Lonchura striata: one gene and its partner. The protein of the gene in region 1 purifies or fractionates together with the protein of each later gene. This does not show direct contact. Links are inferred from orthologs where the notes say so. Each region holds a gene or a part of one and is shown on either strand. Other genes may lie near its edges. The genes, in order: SEC16A and SEC23B.

Region 1 (12,009 bases):
AAAGTATTTCTTCATTTTCTGCCTCATCCCCTTTGAAAAACATGGAGAGAGTTCCTGGATCTCGATCTGTGGGAATAGATCTATTTGACATTTCAGACATAGCTGGAGACTGGTTTTTGGGGTTGTTTTCCTGAGCTGTGGGGAGGACAAAACCAGAGCCTTGCAAAGGTGGCTGTGGGTAAAACTGTTCCTGGTAAGGTTGGTTTGACCAAGGGTTAGTCATTTCTGCATTCTGCCTAAACACATTTCCAGGCTGGATGCTGTTCATGTGATGACTGCTGTTTGCAGGGCCATTTTTGCCATTCTTCTCACAACCAGAGGATAAAGGCGCTTGCACGATGTTTTGTGGAATACCTTGGTGTCCAGGACCCTGCGGGACATTTGCGTGAGGAGGAGGGTGAGAAGTGCTGACAGAAGGCTGAGAAACGTTATGAATGTCAGTCTGAGGAGACGGCTCAGGATAGGGCACAAAATTCCGAACTGGAGACTGCAGATTCCCTGGGACAGGCCTCCACTGGGGCCCAGGCTGCTGGGGAGGTGGTGGGAAGAGTGCTGCTGTGTTGGGTGCTGCAGCTGCATCATTGGGATCTCTGCCAACATCCTGCCTAGCTCCAGGTTTGTTCGCTGCAGACACCATTCCAGGATGCACACTGAAAGAATTTTCCACTGCTGCTCCTGGGTTATAATGCAACGGCACTGCAGCCCCCCGGAGTCCGAGATCGGCGTTGGGATGCCCTTCTGCAGCACTATTTAAAACATACCCCAGGGACGGAGGAGGAACTGGAAGGCTGGAAAAACTACTGGTGCTAATGCCTGCCTGAGAGCCGGGCGCTGACAGAGAGCTGTGTGGTCCGTGAGGGCTGTCCCCGGCGCGGGCGGGCGGCGGATGCACCGGGGCTGGCTGCGGGAAGGCCGGCGCGCTGCCCTTGGGTGGGTTCTCCAAAGGGGAGCCCTGGGGGGTTTGCCTGCCGAAGGCAAAGGGGTCTGTCACGGGCTGCACCGGCGCAGCCGCGGCGTTTGCCCGCTTGCCGAGGGGGCTGTTCCTCCAGTACAGGTTGCGGGCCACGCCGGCGGGAGGAGGAGGAGGCGCCCCGGCAGGGACGGGCTGCGGTGGCTGCTGCATGGTGGCCTCCCGGCAGGGTCACACGGTGACAAACAGCCCGCGGAGGCAGCTCAGGGATGTCTTCTTCTGGCCTGCTGAGACAACACAGGGATAAGTCAGTTCCCTTTCTCACAATATGCGCAGCACTTGAGCAACTTTTATTTTAGAAACAAAATCACGCGAAGAATTTGAAGTGGAAAATATCTCCCTGTTCTTCAGAATTCCTAAGGAACCAACACACTCCATTGTATTTCTCCAGCATTAATGAAGTGTAAGGCTGTGTGGTAACAATGCACATTATTTAACAATTCTATTAAATATATCCAAGTAGGATAATGAAACACAGTTCAGACCTGCACTAGTGTCAAACCCTCCAGTGGTATCCCACTGTTACATTTCCCAGAAATATGCACCACAGACAGGACAGCAACCAGCCAGGAACAGAGCCTGCAGCACCATGGCCCTGCTCAATTTAATTATGAAGAGTTGAGAAGTCATGATCTAACCCTAATTCTGTTAGAGATGATCTTCAGCCCTGCTGCACTGGTACTCCATGTGACTGGACCTTTGCACAGGAAAGATGAGAAGCATCCCTAGAAGGAATTCATCAGATGTTATCACCCTCAACAGTCCACTTATGGTTTAACTAAGAAAACATCGTGTGGCACTGTACTGTTATTTATTTTGAGAAAGGCAATTGCATCTTCATCACAAATATTCTCTCTTCTAGATGAATGATGCATAGCAAAAGTGCATTTAAGGATAGAAAAACAATCAACTACCCCCACCTATCAATGACCATTCTCACTTTAACACCAGAGGGACTTTGGCACAGTATTAGGGTTACAGCTGCACTTCAGGGTGGAAAGGACACACTCAGAAGTAATCCAACCCCAGCTCCAAACAATACCAGGCAGGAATCTGGTACACAGGAAGTTCAGTAAATTCATCAGGGTGTCTTTTTCAATTTTATCACCTCTTAACAATCTGGGGAGGATGGGGGCTGGCAAACCAGAGGAATTCATCAATACTTAGCCAGTGGAGCTCAGTGAAGCCTTATCAGCATATGATAATCTTGTTTTCTCATAGCACACAACAAACATTGTTTATAATATGCAGAGTGAAGTACCCACAGCAATTGCTCCACACCAGATGCTCTTCTGCTTATAAAAGAAAAAAGCTGTGCAATTCTCATTTGGAGTTCTTCTAAGATTCAGCATCTTGTCAGTAAGAGTAATAAAATGGGCAGCCAGAAAAGTCAGATGTTTGTAATCAGGACAAAACTGTAACAGTTATAGAGAAGTTCAAATGCAAAGCACTTCTGGTTTCTTGTTATCAAAAATACTACACGTATTTCATAAAGATTTATACCTAAAATATTCCAATAAAAAGCACACTGAAGTACCGCAGCACACAGCCTTTACTGGACATCAGAACAACTCTTCCTAAAGAAAAATGTCTCCAACAGCCTTGTGTAGAATCCAGGTCCCTCTTTCAAACAGAGACTCTCAATTTCTCCCCCATATCCATACATTCCACAGCCATATCTAGAGTTAAGACTCCATAAATTTGTGTTTTATTAAGATGGGAAGGATACCAAACAGATTTCAACAGAGGCATTAGAGCTCCATCAGTTTCACACGTTACTTGCATGTGACCACCGTTCTTTCTGAAGCACAGCTGCTGAATTCCATCAAGGAATGCTTACAAAGAGTTTCAGGACTTTGCAATCTTTTCTCCTGTTACAATCCTGAGGTGAAGGTTTTCCAGCTGGCCGTGCTTACCAGCCTTGCTGCCAGCCACGTTTCCAGGAAGTCCTGCCTAAACCCCCACCCCAATTTCCACATGCTCTTCTGGGCATCCCCATTTCTTTTTCATCATGTTCTTTGTTGTATTAACCAGATTTCAAAAACCCCTCTCTCCCCTCCAAATAAAAGCATGTGTTTATACAACATACTTTGGGCTGGGGAGGAAAAAAGCTAATTAAACCATCTGCCAAGGCTTGTATGACCTGGAAAGCACAAACTGCACTGACCAAAATATTGGTATCTAATAAATAGCTCTGTTTTTCATAGAAAAGTTGTTTCTGAAATACAGCTGAGCACAAAAGCCAACTTAAATACCCACTTCCACGTGTCTAATGTGGACTTTACCCCTTGCAGCGTCATATTAAAAAAAAATCTTAATAATTTACCATATTTTTGTAACAGCCAGCACCAGTAATTAGCTAATTAAAATAAGTGTAAAGTCCTACTTTTAGGCAGAACTTGCCATTCCTCTAACAGGATCTTTGATGGTGCATGACAGAGGTTCAGTATGAGAGATCAGCTTCCTCAGAAGCAAAGTTAATATTAACAGATTGCACACAGTAGTAAAAGCAAGCAAGATTTGAGGAACTGAGTCCAAATAAAATGAATGTGCCCATGTCGAGTAATTTAAACAGAAGATAACTCAGTGCTACTGACCCTCCTGTGCCTCATCCAGGATTAACAAAAATGCTGATTTTAAGGAATTTAGAAATAACTACACAAGTTAAGAGCAATCCACCTCTGCTTTGTAGAGTTTGGAAATTCTTAACTTTCAGCTGGTTTATTAATTGATAAAGCAGAGTAGCCTGCTAAACATGAGTCACCAGGAGTGCAGAAGGCGTTTCCAGTGTACCAAAATAACATTGCCAAAAAGGGAAAAAGGATTAAAACCCTTTAGATGAGGCCATAAAATTAAGTTCACCCAATGAGCTCTATAGCTTCATCTATAAGTAAATAATTCCTCTGGGGGCAACTAATTAAAACCTATCTAAATAAATTACTCTTGAACAGAATAACTACGGCCATAAAGCAGGTTACAGAGGACAAATATTAACTCTCATCCTCACAAGTGAAGCAAACAATAAATAACGTGTTCACATACACAGATTCCTAAAAACAAAATGACTAAAAAAACCACCAATAACAACTACAAAAAAACCAACCAAATAAAAAAAAAAAAAAAAAACCAAAAAAACCCCAACAACCCAGTGCAATCTCAAATACAGAACATCTGGAAAAATGAGATTTGCAGCTTTAAAATCAGCAACTACTTTTTCAGTTTTATCTTACGTAGGCAGCCGCACATCTGCACACATGTGGGTGACAGATTGAACACATTCTACATCACTCACTCTCCTGACAGATTCCTACCAGGCTTTTCCTCAACAGCAACCAGAGTTATAAATGTTATCCTATATATGTATGTCGTCTAACATATATGTTATGTATGTTAAAATGTAGCGACAGGACAAGGGGAATGGCTTTAAACAGGCACAGGGCAGGTTTACTGAGGTATCAGGAAAAAAATCCTTCCCTGTGAGGGTGGGGATGCCCAGAGCAGCTGTGGCTGCGCCTGGATCCCTGGAAGTGTCCCAGGCCAGACTGGACAGGGCTTGGAGCAGCCTGGGACAGTGGAAGGTGTCCCTGCCCATGGCAGGGGGTGGAATTTGATGATTTTTAAGGTCCCTCCAAAGCAAACCAGTCCGTGGCTCCATCAGAACAGCTCACTGGGAACCAAAAGCACAGAGGCAGCAGAAAGCATTCCGGTTTATTCTAAAAGGATCCAGTCACCGGTTCTCAGCCCAGCAGGTGCCGAGGCTCTCCGGCAGCCGCACTCCTGAGTCAGCACCAGTTGCACCCACCTGGGGCACCTGGCAGCTCGCAAAAAACAACCCAAACAACCCTGCCCCGGCAGCAGCGCTGCCAGCGGGGACAGCCACAGCCAGCATCCCTCGGAACCCTCCCCCGCCGCTCCCCCGGAACAACCTCCGGAGCCCCGCAGAGCCACAAGGACCGCCCAAGGAACCCCAAACCCTGCGGGAAAACCCCCGGCTGCGGCAGCACGGCCCGCCCCAGCCGGGCCCGGGAGCGGCGGGACCCGCCGGCTCCGTGCGCTGCGACAGCCCCGAGGCCCGGCGGGGCGGGCACCGCGCCTCGAGCCTGACGCCGCTGCAGCCCACCCGCGTCCTTCCTCTCCGGCAGCGCCCCGCGGTACCTGGCAGCCGCCGCCGGCCGAGGCCCCTCAGCAGCGGGCGCCGCCGCCCCGCGCGGCCCCAGCGCCGGCCGCCGCCATCTTGGCACATCCGCCTCGGGGTTCCGCCGCCGCCGCCGACGTGTCACGGCGCCGTGACGCCACCGCGGCGCGCGCACCCGGCGGCGGCGCTGCCGTGCGGCCGCGGGTTCGAGTCCCGGCCGGGGCGGCTGCGGGATGTAGGATCACAGGTTCGAGTCCCGGCTGGAGCGGCTGCGGGATGCAAGGTCGCGGGTTCGAGTCCCGTTCGCGGCGCCTCCCCTGTGCCGCCGGGGAGTGGCGGAGCGCGGTGCGGTGCGGGGGTCGCGGTGCCCTGCGCTGCCCGGTGCGGGTGCAGTGTCGCGGGCGGCCGCCAGGGCGGGACAGAGCTCCGCCGGTGCGGTGCCGGCCCCGCGGGAGCCGCTGCCCATCGCGGGCCGGGGCGGGGGAGGCTCAGGGGCTCCCCGAGAGGAGGAATCCGTGCCCACGGAAATGAGGATGCCTCGCGGAGCTGAGCTGTGACTCGCTGCACAGCGAGGTCCTGTCCTGCACGTCCGTGGGGGCCTAATTAGGAAAGGCAAATTAACTGGGATGCACGTGTCCAAAAACAGGATCAGAAACTAATTCCAGAATCCTTAAGGCTGAAAAATCCCTCCAAGATTACCGTGTTCACCACTAAACCCCGTCCCCAAGTGCCACATCCGTGTGCCCTTTTGAACGCTCCAGGGATGATGATTCCAGCACAGTTCTAAGGTTTAGCCACCCTTTCTGCCATGAAATTTTCCCAAATAGCCAATTTAAGCCTCCCCTGGCACAACTGGAGGCCGTGTCCTTTCACCCTGTCCCTTGTGTCCATCCTCCCGTCAGGGAGGATGAGGTGATGGACAGGGCGCAAGGAGATGATCTTGAAAGTCCCTTCCAACCCACACAAGTCTGTGACTCCATAAAAACAGCTCTTTGGGAATCAAAAGCGCAGAAGCAACGCAAAACATTCCCTCCTGAGCCTCCTTTTCTCCAGGCTGAGCCCCCCCAGCCTCTCTGGGTGCTCCGGACCCTGCACCAGCTTCGTGGCCCTGCGAGTTGCAGCTCCATTTTACACAAACACGAAGCTTTTTTAGGGGGGTGAACCCCCGTTCCAGCCACCAGAAGAATGCCTGTCACCCACCAGCACGGACACTGTCACACCCTGCACCCAACAACAAGCCTTGGAGAGGAAAACACGAGCAACCTAAACAAACATCTTAATCAAGGGTCACTATCAGTGCAGAGCTGTTCCTGCATGCTGGATCATTAAAGCAGAGAAATATCCTCAAAGCCCTGGCCAAGCAGGGGAAGCAGCCTTTGATGCTGGTGTGGGAACCAGAGGCAGCGCTGTGATTTTTAAGTGCCTTTCATCTCCCTCTTTTGTAGGAACATTCTTAAAAACCAGCTTGTCAAACACCATTTCCCTGCGCAGGCAGGAGTTGCAGATGAAGCCCTGCTTCTCCCTTGATATTTCCCCCAACAGGTGTAATCTGAGGAAACATGATTTTAATTAGCTCGATTGGCTTTTTGTGTGCTAAATAGCATCAATAGCTGACATCTGTGTCTATAGTTAGATATTTATGTTACATGTTTAACCCCCTTATATAGGGGGACATGATGCAAACACCAACAATGGATCTCACCTTTGCTGTTCTCCTGATAAACACGTGATTATAAAGAATTTCTACATTAAAGCATGCAATCCCTTTTTAACCTGATGTTTTCTAGCTGGTTTGCTGTACTCAGCAGTAGTTCTGGACTTGAGTGACCCATTATAAATGAAAATCCCTGCCAGTGAGGACAGCGTGTGTCCTTCTCTTCTGCTTCACAGAATCGCAGAATGGTTTGGGAATGACCCTAAAAATCATCAAATTCCACCCCCTGCCAGGGCAAGGACACCTTTCACCATCCCAGGGTGCTCCAAGCCCCGTCCAGCCTGGCCTTGGACACTTCCAGGGATCCAGGGCAGCCACAGCTGCTCTGTTCCTCAGCTCACCTGGGATACAACACAAACAATTCTGACCTTTTTCTGGTAATTTATTCAGTCTTCAGGTTGCACACAACCAGAAACACGACCTTGCCCCACGGGCTTGCTATGAAAAGGATCATTCTTTGAGTTTAGAAACGTGGATAAAGGCTAAAGGAGAGTATCTCTATCCCTTACTAGCATTCTGCACCATGATAGCCAACTGGACAACCTGAGTCTTATTTATTTACTCATCCAGTTGCTGTGATTATTCAGACTACCCCAGCCACATTAACCCCTGTTTGATTTTAAGCCCGAGATGAATTTGGCTCCTTTTGCACATTCTTCAGGGGCTGATTTCAGCTTCAGCAACAATTCCTCAATCAGGGCTGGAGCAGCTGCGAGCAAACACCGACAGCCTGGAGGGAGAAGCAATACAGAGTAGCAGTTTCTAAATGTCCCATCTAATTGAGCAGGAATAATGAAAACAAAGAATGAAAAAAAAAAAAAAAAACCCAACAAAAAAACAAGCCCTCCAGCAGGTAAACAAATAGTTCAGGTGCAGGGATTCCTCAGAGCACCAACATACCTGCCATGGCAATAGCCGGTGCTAATCTTGTTTTCCGGCACCCTTCCCTCGGAGCAGGATGTGATTTTGGTGCCTTTTTCACCTGGAATGCTGAGACAGCCGTGCTTGCCATGATCCAGTCACTCCTTGGCATCTTCTGGTGCTGGGAGAGCTTCAAATTCAGCTCCCAAAAATCTTCACCTGCACGAGGCGAAGGTGAGCTTGTGGTGGGGCAGCGTGGGTTGGTTGGTGTGGGAAGAAGCCTTAAGTGTGACAGGAGAGTTTGAAACTGGGGCCATTTCTCTTGTTTCTCCTTTAATTTAGCCTCCATCCCAGCTGGATCTGTGACACCACAATCATCTCATGTACCCACAGGTTGGTTGGTCACCAGATGCCTTCATAAAGCAAAGTAATTTGGGGCTAAGCACTTAAAACCTAAATTTTTGCATCCTTTCTCTCCTACTCCTTAAAAACCTTTGCTGATTTCTAGTTTGAATTACCTTGTGGACAATTAATTAATATCCATCCCTTTGCTTCTTTCCATGGTATTTAGCCCCCCTCTTTCCTCATCCTGTCCCTCTGATATGGAAAATCCCCTGCTTTGCATCCCCTCTTGTTAAACGAGCCCACATGTGCTGCCTCTTGCAATGTCACATTGTTTTCCATGTCCTCATAAACATTTTTTTTTTTTTTTCATCTATTCCAGGCCAAATTTCTGCCTTGCCCACGAGTGCCTCAGTTTCACTCTGGATGAGGCAGAGAGGATCCTTCTAAGGCCTCCTCACTTTGGGATGTCCCAGCCCCACTGGCAGCAGCGGGGCCGTGCTGGGCTGGTTTTGGGGTGGGAATGTGTGGGAGAAGCCTGGAAGGCTGGGCAGTGTGGGATTCCTGAGCAGCTCATGTGTGAGTCACGCTGGAGGCAGACAAACTCCATTTGGTGCATTCCAGATGGGATGCAGGCACAGGAAGGGGGTGACACATCCCTGGGAAGCCCAGCTCCCTCCAGGATGTCCCTCTGGGTGTTGAATCCACGTTTCTCAGGTGGAAGACAGGTTTTGTTCTCCCTTAAAACACTCCTTTCCATGGAGTTTGAGGCTCTCTTTCCTGGAATAATGGCACATCCCTGACCTCTGAAGATGCATTTCACTGCTGTGAAATAAAATACAATAAAATAAAATAGAAAATCAAATAAAACGCCACTGTTACAGCACCAGTTGTACAGCAGGTGTTTGGTGGCCCTGGATCTATCTGGGGATGGACACACACACAAACCCTCTCCCTCCCCAGCCACCGAGTGGAAAATACCAGCATTCCAGGCTTATGTGATTTGGGAGGAGGGCAACAGCTCCACTATTTATATCCAGTTATCTGGGGACTTTGCAGCTGCATTTGCACTGCAGAGTCCCTGTGGGGTAGAGAAAGAATGAAATGAAATGAAATGAAATTACCTTAAAAATCTTGAGCACAGCAAGGACAGCAAACATTTCTGGGTGGTGTTTGTGCCCAGAGTGACGCAAGTAAAACTCTCCCTCTGGTGCTGCTGTTCCTGGGTTTTTTGGAGATGCATGAGGGACATTCTTTAAAACAATTTTTCCATGTTTCCCCTTTTAGATCTTGACTCGATGGCCTGAGGATACCAAAGCAGGTGAAGAGCTAAATGGGCAGAACCTTGCTCAGGTATCTCAAATCAGTGAGAGTTTAGCAGAAATTAAAGAGAAATTTTCATTGTCCAAAGCTCTTCTCTGATTTTTTTTTTTTTACACAGAGAACAAGATGGTGAGGAAGCTCCAGTCCTCTGTGCAAGAAGCAGCTCTGAAATCCAGAATTCAACTGACCCGTAACAGAAACACCAAGTTCCAGTTTTAGTAAAATCTAGATGCCCAGAAGCATCATTTATTGCAAATCAGTTAACCAAAAAAAATACATCATTTTTGCAAACTACAACTTTGCATGTAGATAACTTTATTACAGAAGATATCTTTTCTTAAACTACACTCTAGTTTATAAAACATAGGAAGATTCAACACCACGTGATGTTTTTATCACTCATATTAGGCGTGTCACAATAACAATGGTCTGAAATGTTAACTAAGATGAGTGCTCAGGAAGGCGCTGTGCCTTGAGAAATATCCATTTTATTTGGTGTTCTAATAGAAAGGAATGAGGAAAAGGAACCCTTTTCTTAGGTTTTCTTGATTAACTGCTCTCTATCTGCCTGTCCCATACACGTTATCTAATTTTGGGGTGTCTGCTTGCTTTTGCACCCGAGTGAGTGATATTCCAACACCTCTATAAGGTGATATATTTATGATATATTTAAGACTTGCTCATTTAGATTTTTGAAACAAAATCCACCTTTTCTTGAAAAAAAAAAAGCCCAAACCAAAAAAAAAAACCAAAAACCAAAAAAAAACCCCACCCCATATTTACAAACATTAAATCTGCCACAGGCTTATACTATATTTTACATGATACACAGAAAGAGTGCACACCAATATAAAAAAAGATGCATCACTCCAGGCTAACGTCACAGAACAAAATGTCAACGTTTCACAGCACAGCTGTGCTGGCCCCTCGCCCTCCAGTTTGGCCAGTCCAGCCTCCCACCAAAACCAGCAGCACATCCCACTGGGCACCCAGTGGGGGCTCTGCCAGAGGAGCGGGGCTGGCAGGGTGATAATGCTTTGTAATCTCACTCGGGGTGTCTGCACTGCCAGACACGCCTTCTTCTAAAAAATAGGCAGGCCCATCCTTAAAATAAGGATGTGGTTTACAAAGTTTATATTGGCATTTATTTCTTCAAACAGTTACTCAAACACGAAAGCAAAACAAAAAAACCAGTAAAGATATTCAAAGTAAAATTAAGTCTCCTTTGTGTATATACTCCATAGTTATGGGCTTGCTCTCTTGGAAGTTTGGTAAATACATTTCTTTTTGATGGGGGACAGTATTCATGTTTTGTAGGGTTTATTTTTAGCTTAGAAACTGTTCTTACAGGTCTATAATCCTGCTTTTCTTTTTCTTTTTTTTTTTTAGATCATAAAAATCATTTAAATATATATATTTTTATATATATAAAAACAAGAGAGAACAAAAATTTCTGTTATCAAGGCAAATGTACAACTATATAATACTGAAATTTAAACAAAGATTCATGACTGGTACCATAAAATGTCCTCTCATATAATTGCAAAGGAAACATTTTAAAGTACATTTTAAAAATTTGTCCATACTTAATTTTTTTTTCCCCTTAAGGAGTGGTATTTTTAGTCAGTTTTTTCCTTCCCCTCTTCTTTCTCACCTCTCTTTCTAAATTGAAAGAGAAAAAGAATAAATTAATGGCATTTCAGAATCACAAATCGTTGCTTATAGCTTTACATAAACATTTCCTCTCAAATCAAACACAGTGAACCCCCCCAAACAAAACAGAATGTCCTATAAAAACCTAATTTGTTGATTTCTCGAAACACAACTGGTGTCCCACACTGAGTTCTTAACAATAGAACATATAAATAAAAAGGCAGTGTTCTCATGTAAAATAAAAAGTACATAAATAAATACTAAAAAAAAAAAAAGGAATCAACTTGTCTTTTTCTTTTCTTTTTTTCCTTTTTTATAAAAACATATTTAAAAAAGATCCTTTAATAAAAGCATCCGACGTCCTTTTAAAAAAAAACCCAAAAAAATCTCCCTCCTGCGAGGGAGATTCTGGCTCGCAGTGAGCGTCTCTAAAACACCTTTTTTTGTGTTTTTTTTTTACTTGAAGGCCTCGGGGATGTGTCCCATCTGTGACTGCATACTCGTGGGAGGGCTGGAGATGCCCTCGGACCAGTCGGACACGTTGGAGTGAGGAGAGGAGCTGGACCACTGGTCCGGCGACTCCGGCGACGGCGTGAGGAAAGGGTGGTCGGGCACCTGGAGCTGGTGGCTGGGCGTGTTGTCCATGGGGGAGGAATAACTGTGCTGGGAAGGAGGGGTCAGGAACTGCGTGGTGGTCATGGGCTGGGCGAGGGAGGAGGGCAGGGAGGTGGGCAGCATCTGGGAATCCTGCGGCAGGATGGTGTGCACGGCCATGGCGCTGCCGCTCACCGGCTGCAGCTCGGCCTGGCTCAGCTCCGTACCCAGGAAATTCTGGCCCAGGTGGCCGCTCCCGTTGGAGCCGCTGGGGTTGTGGTGCTGCTGCGGCGGCTGCTGCGGCTGCTGCTGCGGCGGCTGCTGCAGGTTGGGCTGCTGGAGCTGCTGCTGCTGCTGCTGCTGCTGCTGCTGCATCTGCTGGAGCTGCTGGCTCTGCATCAGGTGAGGCTGGGACGC
Region 2 (12,009 bases), on another chromosome or scaffold:
TGGCACACTAGGAGGCAGGGTGGGGTGCACAGGGGCTGTGCACAGACAGGCTGGCCCCTGTACCACTTGCTGCCTGTGGCTTCAGCTGGCTCTGGCCAGGGTGGATCTCTCCACAATACTCAGTATCTTTACAATGCTCTGCCAGCAATGGGGAACAATCTGGAGGTCAAGCACAACACAGGGCTTGTTGCATTTGGCTATTTTCAAGTGTGCCTGGCTGAAAACAAGCCCTTTGGACAATGTGTTGGGAGGGTGGTGGGAAAGTACCTCTGTGGCTGAGTTAGCAGCAGCCTGGGTAACCTGACAGAGGGTTAATGTAGATTTTGGAACAGTTTACCTCATAAGGGTAATACTTTACATCAGCATTTTCAATGCTATCCAGGAGTTTGCACTAAGAGCAGTCTGGATCACATACGAAAGTGTTCAAATCTTGCTTGATTTCCACTTCCCTTACAGCATGGCGGACAGAGGCTAATGAGGGTGCCTTATGAAGAATAAAAAAAGCTCCCATGGCTCCTGTCCATGCAGGGAGGGTATGGATGCAGAGGCAAAGGCTGCTTGTGTGGGAGCAGCTGAGCGTGTACTGGAGCAAACAATGAGCACCTGATAAGCTGGCAAGTCCATGGAAGGACTCTGATTGTCCCAGCGAGGTGAGCACCTTCAGCAGGCTCTCCTTTTGCTGCAGTGTTGTCTCCAGGTGAAAGGGATGCATATCTCTACAGAGGCAGAAGGGCTCTTAGGAAAGAGATGTGGGGGTGAAATGGTTGGAGCTTCATTCTCCCTCTGCCCCCTTTAACTACTCAGCACAGAGAAGCCAAGGGGAAAATGCTGCTCTCTTCCCTGGAAGGCGCCTTGGATCAGACATCCTTTATTCCAGCCAAGGTAATTTCATTGAGATGTGGGGCTGGGGTTGTCTTTGTCTTCCTGTCTTTAAAGAGGACCTGACACAATGGGGTCCTGAGCCTGCTTCTGCAGAGATAACACAATGTTTGTGCTCCACTACAGCTAGAAGATAACTTCCAGGGAAACAACAGGGCTTTATCATGCAGGTATGTCACTTTATGCTCTATAATCACATTCATTGGCAATAAGAAAAAGGAGAGAAAGCTTCTCCTCAGTGAACAGCTTTAGGAAGTAGATAGATGGTTTATTAAGCTCTTTAAATTTTGGCATTGTGTTTATCTGGCTTAGATGACCTTTGTGGTATCTCAAACTTCTTAGTGTTGAAGCTGTAACAAGACTTCTCAGATTTGGAGAAAAGTGCCTATAAGGGGAAAGTAATTTCAATTTAGTTTCTTACAGATAGCAATCTGTCTGATCTATTTCTATATGAATCAGACAAATGATCTTTCTGTCACTCTGGTTCTTCATGAACCTGGCTGATGTATTAGGCTGACATTCTTATCTGAAAAGGGAATAAATGCTACAAGGTAGCATTAATGGTGTCCTGAGTTTTGTCAATCTTCTCCTTGGTGAAGCTGTCCCTGTTCCAAACTGGTATGAAATGTAATGTTTTGAGGATACTACTATAGTAGCTCCAGTACTCAACATGAAAACATTTACATGTGGAAAGCTGAATTATCCCTTAAAACATGGATGACAAATAGGAAGCATGATCTGCTCATTTATTTTCACAGGCCTCATGCAAGAGGTTAGAGTTCAGCTGCTGCAGGACCATGAGATTCTCCTGAGCTGGAGAGAGCTCATTCTTGTTTTCATGAGCCCTGATCCTGCTGTCAACCCACGAGCCTCTTGTGAGTGGTTGCCTCACTAGTAGTAGCCAACTCTCCAAAGGCAAGTTGGAGGGTGGGCACACCCAGATGCCACATGGAGTCGAGTGCAAAATTGTGTTTTAATTCCAAGGCAAACATTCACTATGGTAGCTGGCTGGATTGTGAACTGACAGTGTAAAGCTGGCAGGTATTGTCTGGCATGTATAGCCTTTACACTCCAAAGTTTAAAACATGAGGATGAATAGCAAACTTGAAGCTTCGATAGTGAAAATTTTCCCCGTGGCTGAGTGGCAGTTTAGTTTTTCCTGGGTTTGGTCGGTTGGCTGGGGGTTTTGTATTTGTACTTCGATGGTAACCGATCCGGGTAATTGTTGTTCCGCTGGTGCTGTTAGAGCACCATATCCTGTCTCTTCCTGGGATGGCTCCCCCAGGGCTCCAACAGGAAAAAAGCTCGGTCTTAAGCCTTACTGGTTTCTTTTTTGTCTCCACATGCATTTGATTTTGGGAAAAAACTGTAGTGAGTGGAGACAACTGGGTCTCCTATTGCTGCTAAACACTTGATGCTTTGAAACAGGGTACAGACACCTCAAACAGAGCTGTCCTCTGCCACACACAGACCACCTTTCCCTCCTCTTGCTCTGCTCGGCTGGGACTTTGTGTCATTTCACCTGTGAGAAATGCAAGGCTAGGCCCTCCTCAGCCATGCTGAGCCTAGATTAGCTCCTGGAGGAGACTGGAAGGTAGCATGACAGGCTCCACAGGTGATGTCCAAGTTCTTGCTGAAAATGTTCACTTCTGCCATGAGAAAGTCAGTCATGGGACTTTGCTCACTCTTCAGGAGATCTTCTGGAGAATGGGGAGGACAGGAACCAGAGCTCAAAGTTCTCCTCTCTGACAGCTGTTTAACACAAACTAAGCTGGGGCTTGTGTAGGCAGCCTGTGGTGTTTTCCTTTCTCTCACTTTTGAAGCAAGCTTGTGTTTCTTTCAGGAAATGCTTTGGGGAAAGCTTTTACTTGGGTATTTGTTCCACAGACACAGGGCTTTAAGATTGTGCTCCTCTTCCAAACTGATTTGGTTTAACCCAGCAGACATTAAACACCACACAGGTGTTCCCTTACTTCCTCCCCAGTGGGATAGGAGAGACAATTGTAAAAAAAGTAAAGCTTGTAGATTCAGATGAGGACAGTTTAACAGGGCAGAAAATGAAGGGGAAATAATGGTAAGAGATTATATAAATTAAGTGATGAACAATACAGTTGCTCCTCCTCTGCTGACCGTTGCCCAAGGAGTGCCAGAGCAGAGGGCTGGAAACCAGCAGCCAACTCTTCCCAGTTTTATCATTCACTATATGATAAGGAACAAGGAACATCCCTTGAACCACTTGGGATCACTTGTCCTGTCTTTGTCTCCTTCCAAATTAATTGCGCACCCCCAGCTTTCCTGGCTGGCAGGAAGAACCTAAGAAGTCGTTGACTTAGCATAAGAATTGCTCAGCAAGAACTAAATTATCAGGGTGTATCAATATCTTCATAATCCTAAATCAAAAAATGCAACACTAAACCAGCTCCAAGGGAGGAAAATTAACTCTGAAAGTTGAAAGCAGGACACAAACTCACAATCATTGCTCAATATTTTAGTTAATCTAATGTTTGCAGAGGGGTGCACTATGGCCTTGAAGCCCTAGGTCCTGGTAAGGCTCTTTGCTGTTGAGATGTGGCAGTGGGAGGAAGATGTAAACAAACAGGCAACTTCAGAAGAGCAGATTTGCTTTGCCTCCTACTTGGAGAGCCAGTCCTGGGTCTGAGAATGTTAGTAATATTAGTAATTAGAATTTTACACACTTTAGCATATACATATCAGTAGCATGCTTCTACTTTTTTATTCCCTCTCTATTTGGGATGTCAGGAAGCTGGGAAGGCAAAAATGAATGTTCACCTCAGACAGCATTTCATTTTGCTTTGTTTTGGACATGGAACTGTACTCTGCATATTCCAGATTTTTGTTGCATTTAAAAGAAATAAAACAGGGAAAAAAGAACAAAACAAAAAACCAAAACAAACAACCCCCCCCAAAAAAACCCCAAAAACAACAACAACAACAACAACAACAAAAACAAACAAAAAAAACCCCAAAAAAACCCCAGAGCTGGACATGGGTGAGTAGACTTGACCACAGGGCATAATTTCCTCTAAGCAACGGTGGAGCGGTGCCCACACAGAAGCCTGGGAGATATTTGTAAGCTGACCGCTGCATGAATGTAAAGCAAACACCAAAACTCTTAGAAGCAGAGAATTGAGGTATTTCCCTGCAATACCTTTGCACCTCGAAAGTCTGCAGGATTCAGGAATGGATTTGCATCCGTGCATTCAGATAGGACAAATACCACTTGCACAGCATCACGTAAAGCTGCAGGGAAGGATTCTTGTCTTGGGCTCACTAGGACAAGCTCTTGGCTTTGGAAGAGTCTGGGAAGCAATACAAGATGGAAGCAATGAAAGAAGGACACATATTTGTCTAATTTCAAGGCAGGGACAAATTCCTGGGGCAATTCAGGTGTGCCAAACTTGTACCTCGTATCCACAGGCTCCCTGAAAATTGTGTCCATCCCTGGATCTCTCGGAGGGTCTGGGCGCTGTAGGGCTCTCCCCAGTAGGCTGAGGCACAGATTTCCTGGCAGAAGGGTGAACCACTGTGGCCTCGAGCAGATGTGGGGGTAAAGCTCTGTCAGCGAACAGAACGGGAGGAAAACCCGATGGATTGTCCCCGCCTTGCTGCTGGAATAGATGGCCTCATGCCTTTGCCCAGCGTGTGCCGCTGACCCAGCGTGTCCGGGGACAGAACCCTCGGCCCGAGAGAGGAGCTGGGAACTGAGACTCTGTGGGGCTCGCAGTTTATTTCTTTAAGAAGTGTCTCGGTGTTTTTAGTGGAGCGCTACTCATAACCCTGGGAATGCTCCCTGACGAACACACCCGAGCGCGCTCCCAAGCAGCCGAGCCCCTTGAGGGCGGGGCTGCTTCCCTCATGCCGTGCCAGGGTAGGAAGGCGGCACCGCATCCCACATTTAGCAGGGACACCCCGCCTGTCGCCATTCCAAGGCGAACCTGCCGCCCTCAGCCGAGCCGAGCTCCCTGCCGCCGCCGCCCGGCTATGTTTGGAAGGAGCCTGCCTCTCCCCTCCTCCTGAAGGGCGGCGCAGCGTGCCCTTAGCCAAGATGGCGGCGGAGCCTCAGCGGGGGTGGGGCGGGCGTGCCGCCGCCGCCGCCATCTTGGCCGCGGGCAGCGCGCACCGCTGAGCTGGCCTTGCCGGGCGCGCGGGGCGTGCTGGGAGGGAGCGGCGCGAGCGGCGCGGGCAGGTGGGAGCGGCGGGGCTCCGAGGGAAGGGAATGGGAACGGGAACGGGAATGAGGGGTCTGTGTCCCCTGAGGGGAGCGGTGGGTGACGGCCCCTGTGAGGGGGCCAGTGGTGTCCCTGCGGCAGGGTCTGGAGGGAGCGGTCAGCGGTGTCCCCTGAGGGGAGTTGGGCATGGTCCGCGGTGCTTTCATGGGGTCAGCCGTGTCCCACAGAGCAGCAGGTGCTCGCTTTGGCCGGGCTGGGGATCCGCAGTGTCCCCCTGGGCTGGGGTCAGGCGTGCCCCTGTGGAGGGCCAGCAGTGCTTTGCCCTGTGGCCGTGCCGGGGATCGGTGCTCGGAGGGGCGGAGGTGGTACCTGCGGTGTCCCCTGCAGCCGTGCTGAGCGATTACACCTGTCCTCCCGCTGTCCTGACCCCAAAGTAGGGCCACAGCCCGTGCCAGACCCAGCATGGCAATCAGGGAAGTGATGCTGGGCTACAGCTGGGGAAACATGGAATAAATCAAATGTTTATATTGCTGTTCTGATGTGCGGGATCTTTTACAGGAAGACTCAGCTCTGATTTTCACCTTGACAGATCTATTTGTAGTGGGGATGTGTTGTGAACCCTTCTTTTGTCCATCCACTCAGGGGGGTGGAAACATGGGGCAGTTCTCCTTAAGCTTGATTTACATCCTTAATAGCAAGGAAGAGGAAAACGTCAGTGAGTTTGGAGTTCTGTAGGAAAACGTTATACCAAAACTTCTCCTCCTCTGAGGGGAGGTGTTGCTTCTGATTTCTCATGTGAGTAGCCCTCCTGAATATCCCATCTGCAGTGAGGATCAGGAGTAAGGTAATCCTGGAGCATTTGCAGCTGTAGGTGAGCCTCTGAATTTCCTTGTCTGAAGTAGGTTGTGGAGCTGCTGCTTTTGGCTCAGTGAGTTGCTGCTAGTGCTGTGTGGTGTTTGTGGTCTGGATTTGACAAGTAAGTTTTTTGATAAGCTTGTTCTTGCCTTTCTCAGAAAAATCAAAAGCAGTGATGGCCTGGAAACTCTTGTTTGTGTCTTATTTTGAAGAGTTTAGTAAGACAACACAGAGAATGTGTTGGGAATATTCCTCCTTGATTTTTTTTTTTTTGAAGCCTTCTGGACTCTCAGTTCTTTCCTTATTGGCAGTGGAACAATGATGCTAGGCAGTGTGGGTGTCCAAAAGATCGTTTTTGGTATTTTGTCATGTACTCTCTTGTCTTTGTAAGCAGGTCAGGCTGGCAGCTTGGTGGCATTTGTGATTGTTTTGGTCTCAGACTTGGCCTCCTTTTCTCCCTGCAGTGTTTCAGCTGAAGGCTCCAGGATGGGTTGCAAATCTGGCCTATTTTCCTTTACTGACCCAGTCAGGCAGGATTGCCTTGAGGCCAGCATGAACCTCATTGGATTTTGACGTGTTAAATGTGTATCATAAGAAAAAAAACAACCTCTTATGCTCTGACTTTGAGTGTCAGCTTTCCTTGTTTCTTTGTTGGACTTGGTGGTGTTTTAATTGGCTGTAATGTTGATGAGAGCACTGGACAGAAGAGATTAATGGAGTCACGTGGTTTCCTTGATAATGGGATTAATTCATTGTACTGTGCTAGCTTTGTCCTGGCAGTGTCTTGTGCCCCCACCTGTAGTTGATCTGCTGAGCTCCTTTGCAGGCCTGTTGTCCACACAAGTGGCTGCTGCCCCAACCTTCTGTGCCTTCTTCTGTCCTTCAGGAGCTTCAGTGGGGCCATGGCGACGTACCTGGAGTTCATCCAGCAGAACGAGGAGCGTGACGGCGTGCGCTTCAGCTGGAACATGTGGCCCTCCAGCAGGCTGGAGGCCACAAGGATGGTTGTGCCCCTGGCCTGTCTCCTGACCCCGCTGAAGGAGCGTCTGGACCTGCCTCCTGTGCAGTATGAACCTGTGCTTTGCAGCAGGCCAACCTGCAAAGCTGTGCTCAACCCACTCTGGTAGGAATTGCTTAGCTGGGGATGTTGGAAGGGGCTGGACATTATCTAATTTTCATTTGAACTTCACTACTTTCTTATTCCCCTTTTTCTCTGCCCAGTGCCTGGCAGCCTCTTTCATTTAGATGCAGTGAGCTTGTTAAAATCCATACATCAACACGCCTGTTACTAGAGTTGGCAAGAGCAGAGGACACAGGAGGATCTTTGGAGAGGCTGTTAAGGCAGAGGGTCCTCTCAGCATCCCAGAGAATTTTCCTCATAGAAGACAAAGAGCAAACTCATGGTAGACAAAGATGCCCATTGTACTGATACTGTGCTCTGGACTTGATGCTTACTTGTTTTCCTGCTTCCTACGCACCCTGCTGCTTGTAGGTCAGTTTCCAGTATGAGCATAATGAAATAATTTTAGAGGAATATCTCGGTCCCAAATTATGAGATGATCATGCATATTGGGAGCATGGTGTTGGGCTGAGAAAAAGCAGGCAATACCAATAAGAGGAATTGAAATGAGATCAAAGCCATGGAATGAGAACGTGGCGAGGCATCCTGCACTAGCAGGATGTTGTACTGGGCTGAGGAGAGTAAACTCTGTGGGACAGGGAACAGCCTGTTTGTTCTGTGTTTGCACAAGATCTGGGTGGATGGCTCCTGCTGCTCTGAGACTGGAACACTTGTGTGCTACAGCTGCACAAACAATAAGACAATGAGATTAGCCTAAGTGTAGTGAAATAATTAGTAGACCCAAGTCTGTGTCTGCCAAGGGCTGAACTTCAGAGAGCTCAGTGGTCCCTCATGCTGACAAGCCTGCAAACGGCAGGGCTGGATTAGCTAATGAACTTCCTGGTAATAGAACCAGAGTCTGAATCCCTAAAACACTTGCTGTTCAAGCTGGAGTGTCTGTTTCTTCCTCAGTGCTGTGAACCAGCATGGATTAATGAATTAATTGTGAAGCATTCCTGTAAAATTGTTCCTGAAGTCACACCAATGCCTCATCTTTCCCTTGCAGCCAAGTTGACTATCGGGCCAAGCTTTGGGCTTGTAACTTCTGTTTTCAGAGAAACCAGGTAAGTTGGAAAAAGAACTTTGACCTTTTCAGTGAACACTTTATTGATGGCCTTCCCTGGACATTAAATGTAAATTCTGCTTCTCTAGATCCTTTCCCTTGGCCTTCTTCTCTTGCTGAACCCAGGCCAGAGTACAGTCTGGTTTACCTGACGTCTTGTCAGTGATTTTGCTGGCATGCAGAGCATAGAAAAGAGATTAAAATGCTATTTTGTTCTATGTGTCCCAGTGTGTTTTTTGCATCTGATATTTACTATTCCTGCAGAATATGGAATTCATTAGGTTTGAGTAGACTTTTGCCATCAGAAACTACGGCTAAAAGAATTTCAACTAGTACATTATTGCTGCTGTAGCCTTACCTTTTATTTACAGTGGATTGAGCAGCTGTCCATCCTGGCCCCTTGTTGGCTGTTCTTAGGAAAAGCACTGTGGGTTTTTTATAATGAATTAATCAGGTTGGTGCAGTGTCAGTAAATAAAAAGTTGAATAACTACATCATCAGCAGGGCAGGCTCTGTGCTGCATTAGAGAGCCCTATATTTTTGTTCTGCAGCTTCCTTGTCCTAATTTTTTGTTCTCTTTTTCAGTTTCCCCCAGCTTATGCTGGCATTTCTGAAGTCAATCAACCAGCAGAGCTTATGCCTCAGTTTTCAACAATTGAATACATAGTGCAGGTAAATGAGCCACAGACGAGGTTGAAGCTCCCAGAATTGTCTTGTTTGTGACAAATGATATATGTGTAAAATTTTCTTAGGATAATGCAAATAAATACCATGTCTGCAAGGTGCTTAAGAAGGGCTAATTTTATTCCTTGGCTGGAGGCTTTAGAAAATGTAATTTCTTCCCACATCAGCGAGGTCCGCAGACGCCGTTGATCTTCCTGTATGTTGTGGACACGTGCTTGGAAGAGGAGGATTTGCAGGCCCTGAAGGAGTCCCTGCAGATGTCCCTGAGCCTGCTGCCTCCTGATGCCCTGGTGGGGCTCATCACTTTTGGCCGGATGGTCCAGGTTCACGAGCTGAGCTGTGAAGGGATTTCCAAGAGCTACGTGTTCCGGGGCACCAAGGACCTGACAGCCAAGCAGATACAGGTGTGCTCTGCCATCCCTGGCTGCTCTGCCATCCCTCAGGCCAGGGGCTTGTACCTCTCAGCTCTGTTGGGCTCTCAAGCTCAGGGCTCTCTGGGAGAAAGAAGGGCTTAGTGCCCTCAACTGTGAGCCTTTTGCCCTCTCACTATCTGTCCTGTCTTTTTGCTTTTGTATAAGTACAACTCTAGCCATTTACTTTGAGTTGTAAATGTCTTGGAAGCTTGTTCAGGATTGAGTTTGTGTATCTCACATAATGGACCCATGATCCATTCCTAATGGCAGTGCAAAGATGGATAATTTTACAGATTTAAGTATATTTAATGCTACAGTATTGCATGCTTTAGAGTATATTAAGTAATAATGTAAGTAATATATTTAGTGTTTGAATAGTACATCTCTGCCTCCTCTTTACTGTTCTTAGGATATGCTTGGTCTTTCAAGGCCAGCTGTCCCCATGCAACAGGGAAGACCTCTTCAAACTCCAGAGCAGCCTGTTATTTCCAGCAGGTAAGCTTTACCAGCACAGGAGACAGCAGGGCACATGTTTTATGCCCCTTTATATCTGTAGGTCATGCCTCTAACCCTGGGTTTCCTGGGAGGGGAAAGAAGATTTAAATCGTATTGTCTTGTCACAATTACTTACCTCCATTAAAAACAGTTTTCTCTTTCTCAGCTTCTCTTTTTCAGTGATAGCTCTCATGCCTTTCAGCAAACTCACCTTTGAACTTCTTTCTTTTTCTTTATGTGACTTTGCCTTCTTGTCAGTTTCTGATGTCTTGCTATGATTAAATTTTTTATTTTGCACAGGCTTGTTATCTTGGAAAATTTGCATGTAAGAAGACAACCTGCTGCATGTCTCTTTTCTTCTGATTATTGTCTCAGTACAATTTATGTGTGGCAGGAACAAGAGGCAGTTTTTTTCTTCTCCAAACTTAGAAGCAGGAAAACACTGCATTTGAATTTTTGCAGGTTCCTGCAGCCCGTGCATAAGATTGACATGAATTTAACAGATCTGCTTGGAGAGCTGCAGAGGGACCCATGGCCAGTGACCCAGGGGAAGAGACCCTTGCGTTCTACTGGAGTGGCTCTTTCAATTGCAGTTGGCTTATTGGAGGTATTTCTAATGCTGTTGGTTGAGATGAGCAGGCCAAAGTAAGCACATAGCCATGCTCCCTGAGATGGGTGCAGGTGTCAGTGCAGCTGGGTTGTAGCGGGGTGCAGAAGTGTAATTTGTCTGTACTGACATTTGAGCTGTGCTAGCACCAGCTGATGTAGAGTGGGCTGGAAGGTTCTATCTAAATGGTAAAATTTTCAGGTGTTTAAAAGTCTCTGATTCTTGTGTATGTTGGCATACAAGAGGTGATACTATGCACTGGATTTTTCTAAGTATCATCTAAGATATAAGTAAAGGGAACAGAAACTGCTGGCTTCCTGTTTTGAGGACATGATTTGAGTTTAAACTTGATCTGAGTGCTGTGACTGTCAGGAAATGCATCACTATTTATCGAGGTGGCCTCTAGCAGGGACAGGTCTCCACTGCCATTGCAGAAGCATGTGCAGACCCCTCTCTAAAGAAAACATTGTTGCTACTTAATTAGTTTCCCTTTTTTTTCCCTCCTCCCTCTCTCTGATATATGTCTTTGTTTTTATTTCAGGGCACATTTCCAAACACAGGGGCCAGAATAATGCTGTTCACAGGTGGGCCACCAACACAAGGGCCAGGCATGGTGGTAGGAGATGAACTGAAAACACCCATCCGTTCCTGGCATGACATAGAGAAGGACAATGCAAGGTTCATGAAGAAGGCTACCAAAGTGGGTACTAGGCCTTGATGGGTGTGTTTAAAAGCTGAAACTGAATGTTGTGTCAGAACACTACATGGGTTCCATGGTTGTCCTTGAAATAATCTGAGTCTTTGTGTACACTAAATTATGAGGATGGTTAAGGGAAGAGTAGAAAAGCTTCCTCCTAGTTACTTCTCCATCACAGTCTTGTGCCTTGTCAGAGAAGAAAGTATTTCAGTGTTGTTTCTTAGCTGATGGCGGGTGGAGAGCTTGTTCATCCACATCATTGTATTTCCTTCTGGAGAGGAAGAAATCTCCTAAGAACTGCTTATTTCCAGAAAGCCCCCTTTATCTTCTTGACATACAAAACAACCATTAAAACAGTAAAAATGTCAGATATTAAATGCGCCTGTCAGCTTAGAGAAAGCAGGATGACACCTGCTCTTTAACTATCACCTGGGTATCTTTGCGTTCCCACCAAGTTATCACAGACTAGATGATGCCTTATCATTTATGCACTGTTTGTATTTGAGACAATAAACTCTGGCTCATCTGAATGCATCCCTCATACTAGAAGGAAGCAGTGTGCTGCAGCCAACATCTCTTCAGTTACCACAGCACTGGTGTTTGCCCCATCTGTACCTCGTGTTGAGGTGGGGAGCAGCAGAAATTGCACACTGCAGTCTCCTAACCCCCGATATGTGTTCCCAGCACTACGAGACTCTGGCCAACCGCTCTGCGGCCAACGGGCACTGCATCGACATCTACGCCTGTGCCCTGGACCAGACAGGGCTGCTGGAGATGAAGTGCTGTACAAACCTCACTGGGTATGTTCACAGCAGGGCAGCACACAGTTGGCACCCACTTTTTGGGTTTTTTTTGGATAGGGAGGATAGTTCAGGAAGCAATTAGATGTGCTGTCAGGGCAGAAGGGTTTTTATTGTTCTGTTCTAAACTGTGGTTTGAATTTGCCAGAAATTTTATATGGCAAGCCTCACCTGATGCCAGTCCATATTTCTGGAGTCTCATGTGA

What was found.
Region 2: the proteins of SEC16A (region 1) and SEC23B purify together in Homo sapiens (affinity purification with mass spectrometry; 3 studies listed by BioGRID and IntAct, with this or other methods). This does not show direct contact. The link is inferred for Lonchura striata from reciprocal best matches to the Homo sapiens genes SEC16A and SEC23B.

Annotation. Positions count from the first base shown.
Region 1 is NC_134624.1:8,860,106-8,872,114, reverse strand, and holds the start of SEC16A (protein transport protein Sec16A), read right to left. Parts: upstream 5,144-12,009; 5' UTR 5,126-5,143; intron 1,299-5,125; exon of another isoform or gene 1,198-1,298; 5' UTR 1,124-1,197; coding exon 1-1,123. Other genes in the region: NOTCH1 (neurogenic locus notch homolog protein 1), read right to left, coding at 11,455-12,009. UniProt on the Homo sapiens protein: Acts as a molecular scaffold that plays a key role in the organization of the endoplasmic reticulum exit sites (ERES), also known as transitional endoplasmic reticulum (tER).
Region 2 is NC_134605.1:22,407,061-22,419,069, reverse strand, and holds the start of SEC23B (protein transport protein Sec23B), read left to right. Parts: upstream 1-5,015; 5' UTR 5,016-5,086; intron 5,087-6,810; 5' UTR 6,811-6,826; coding exon 6,827-7,047; intron 7,048-7,060; exon of another isoform or gene 7,061-7,416; intron 7,417-8,050; coding exon 8,051-8,108; intron 8,109-8,692; coding exon 8,693-8,779; intron 8,780-8,958; coding exon 8,959-9,195; intron 9,196-9,613; coding exon 9,614-9,699; intron 9,700-10,161; coding exon 10,162-10,306; intron 10,307-10,847; coding exon 10,848-11,006; intron 11,007-11,687; coding exon 11,688-11,803; intron 11,804-12,009. UniProt on the Homo sapiens protein: Component of the coat protein complex II (COPII) which promotes the formation of transport vesicles from the endoplasmic reticulum (ER).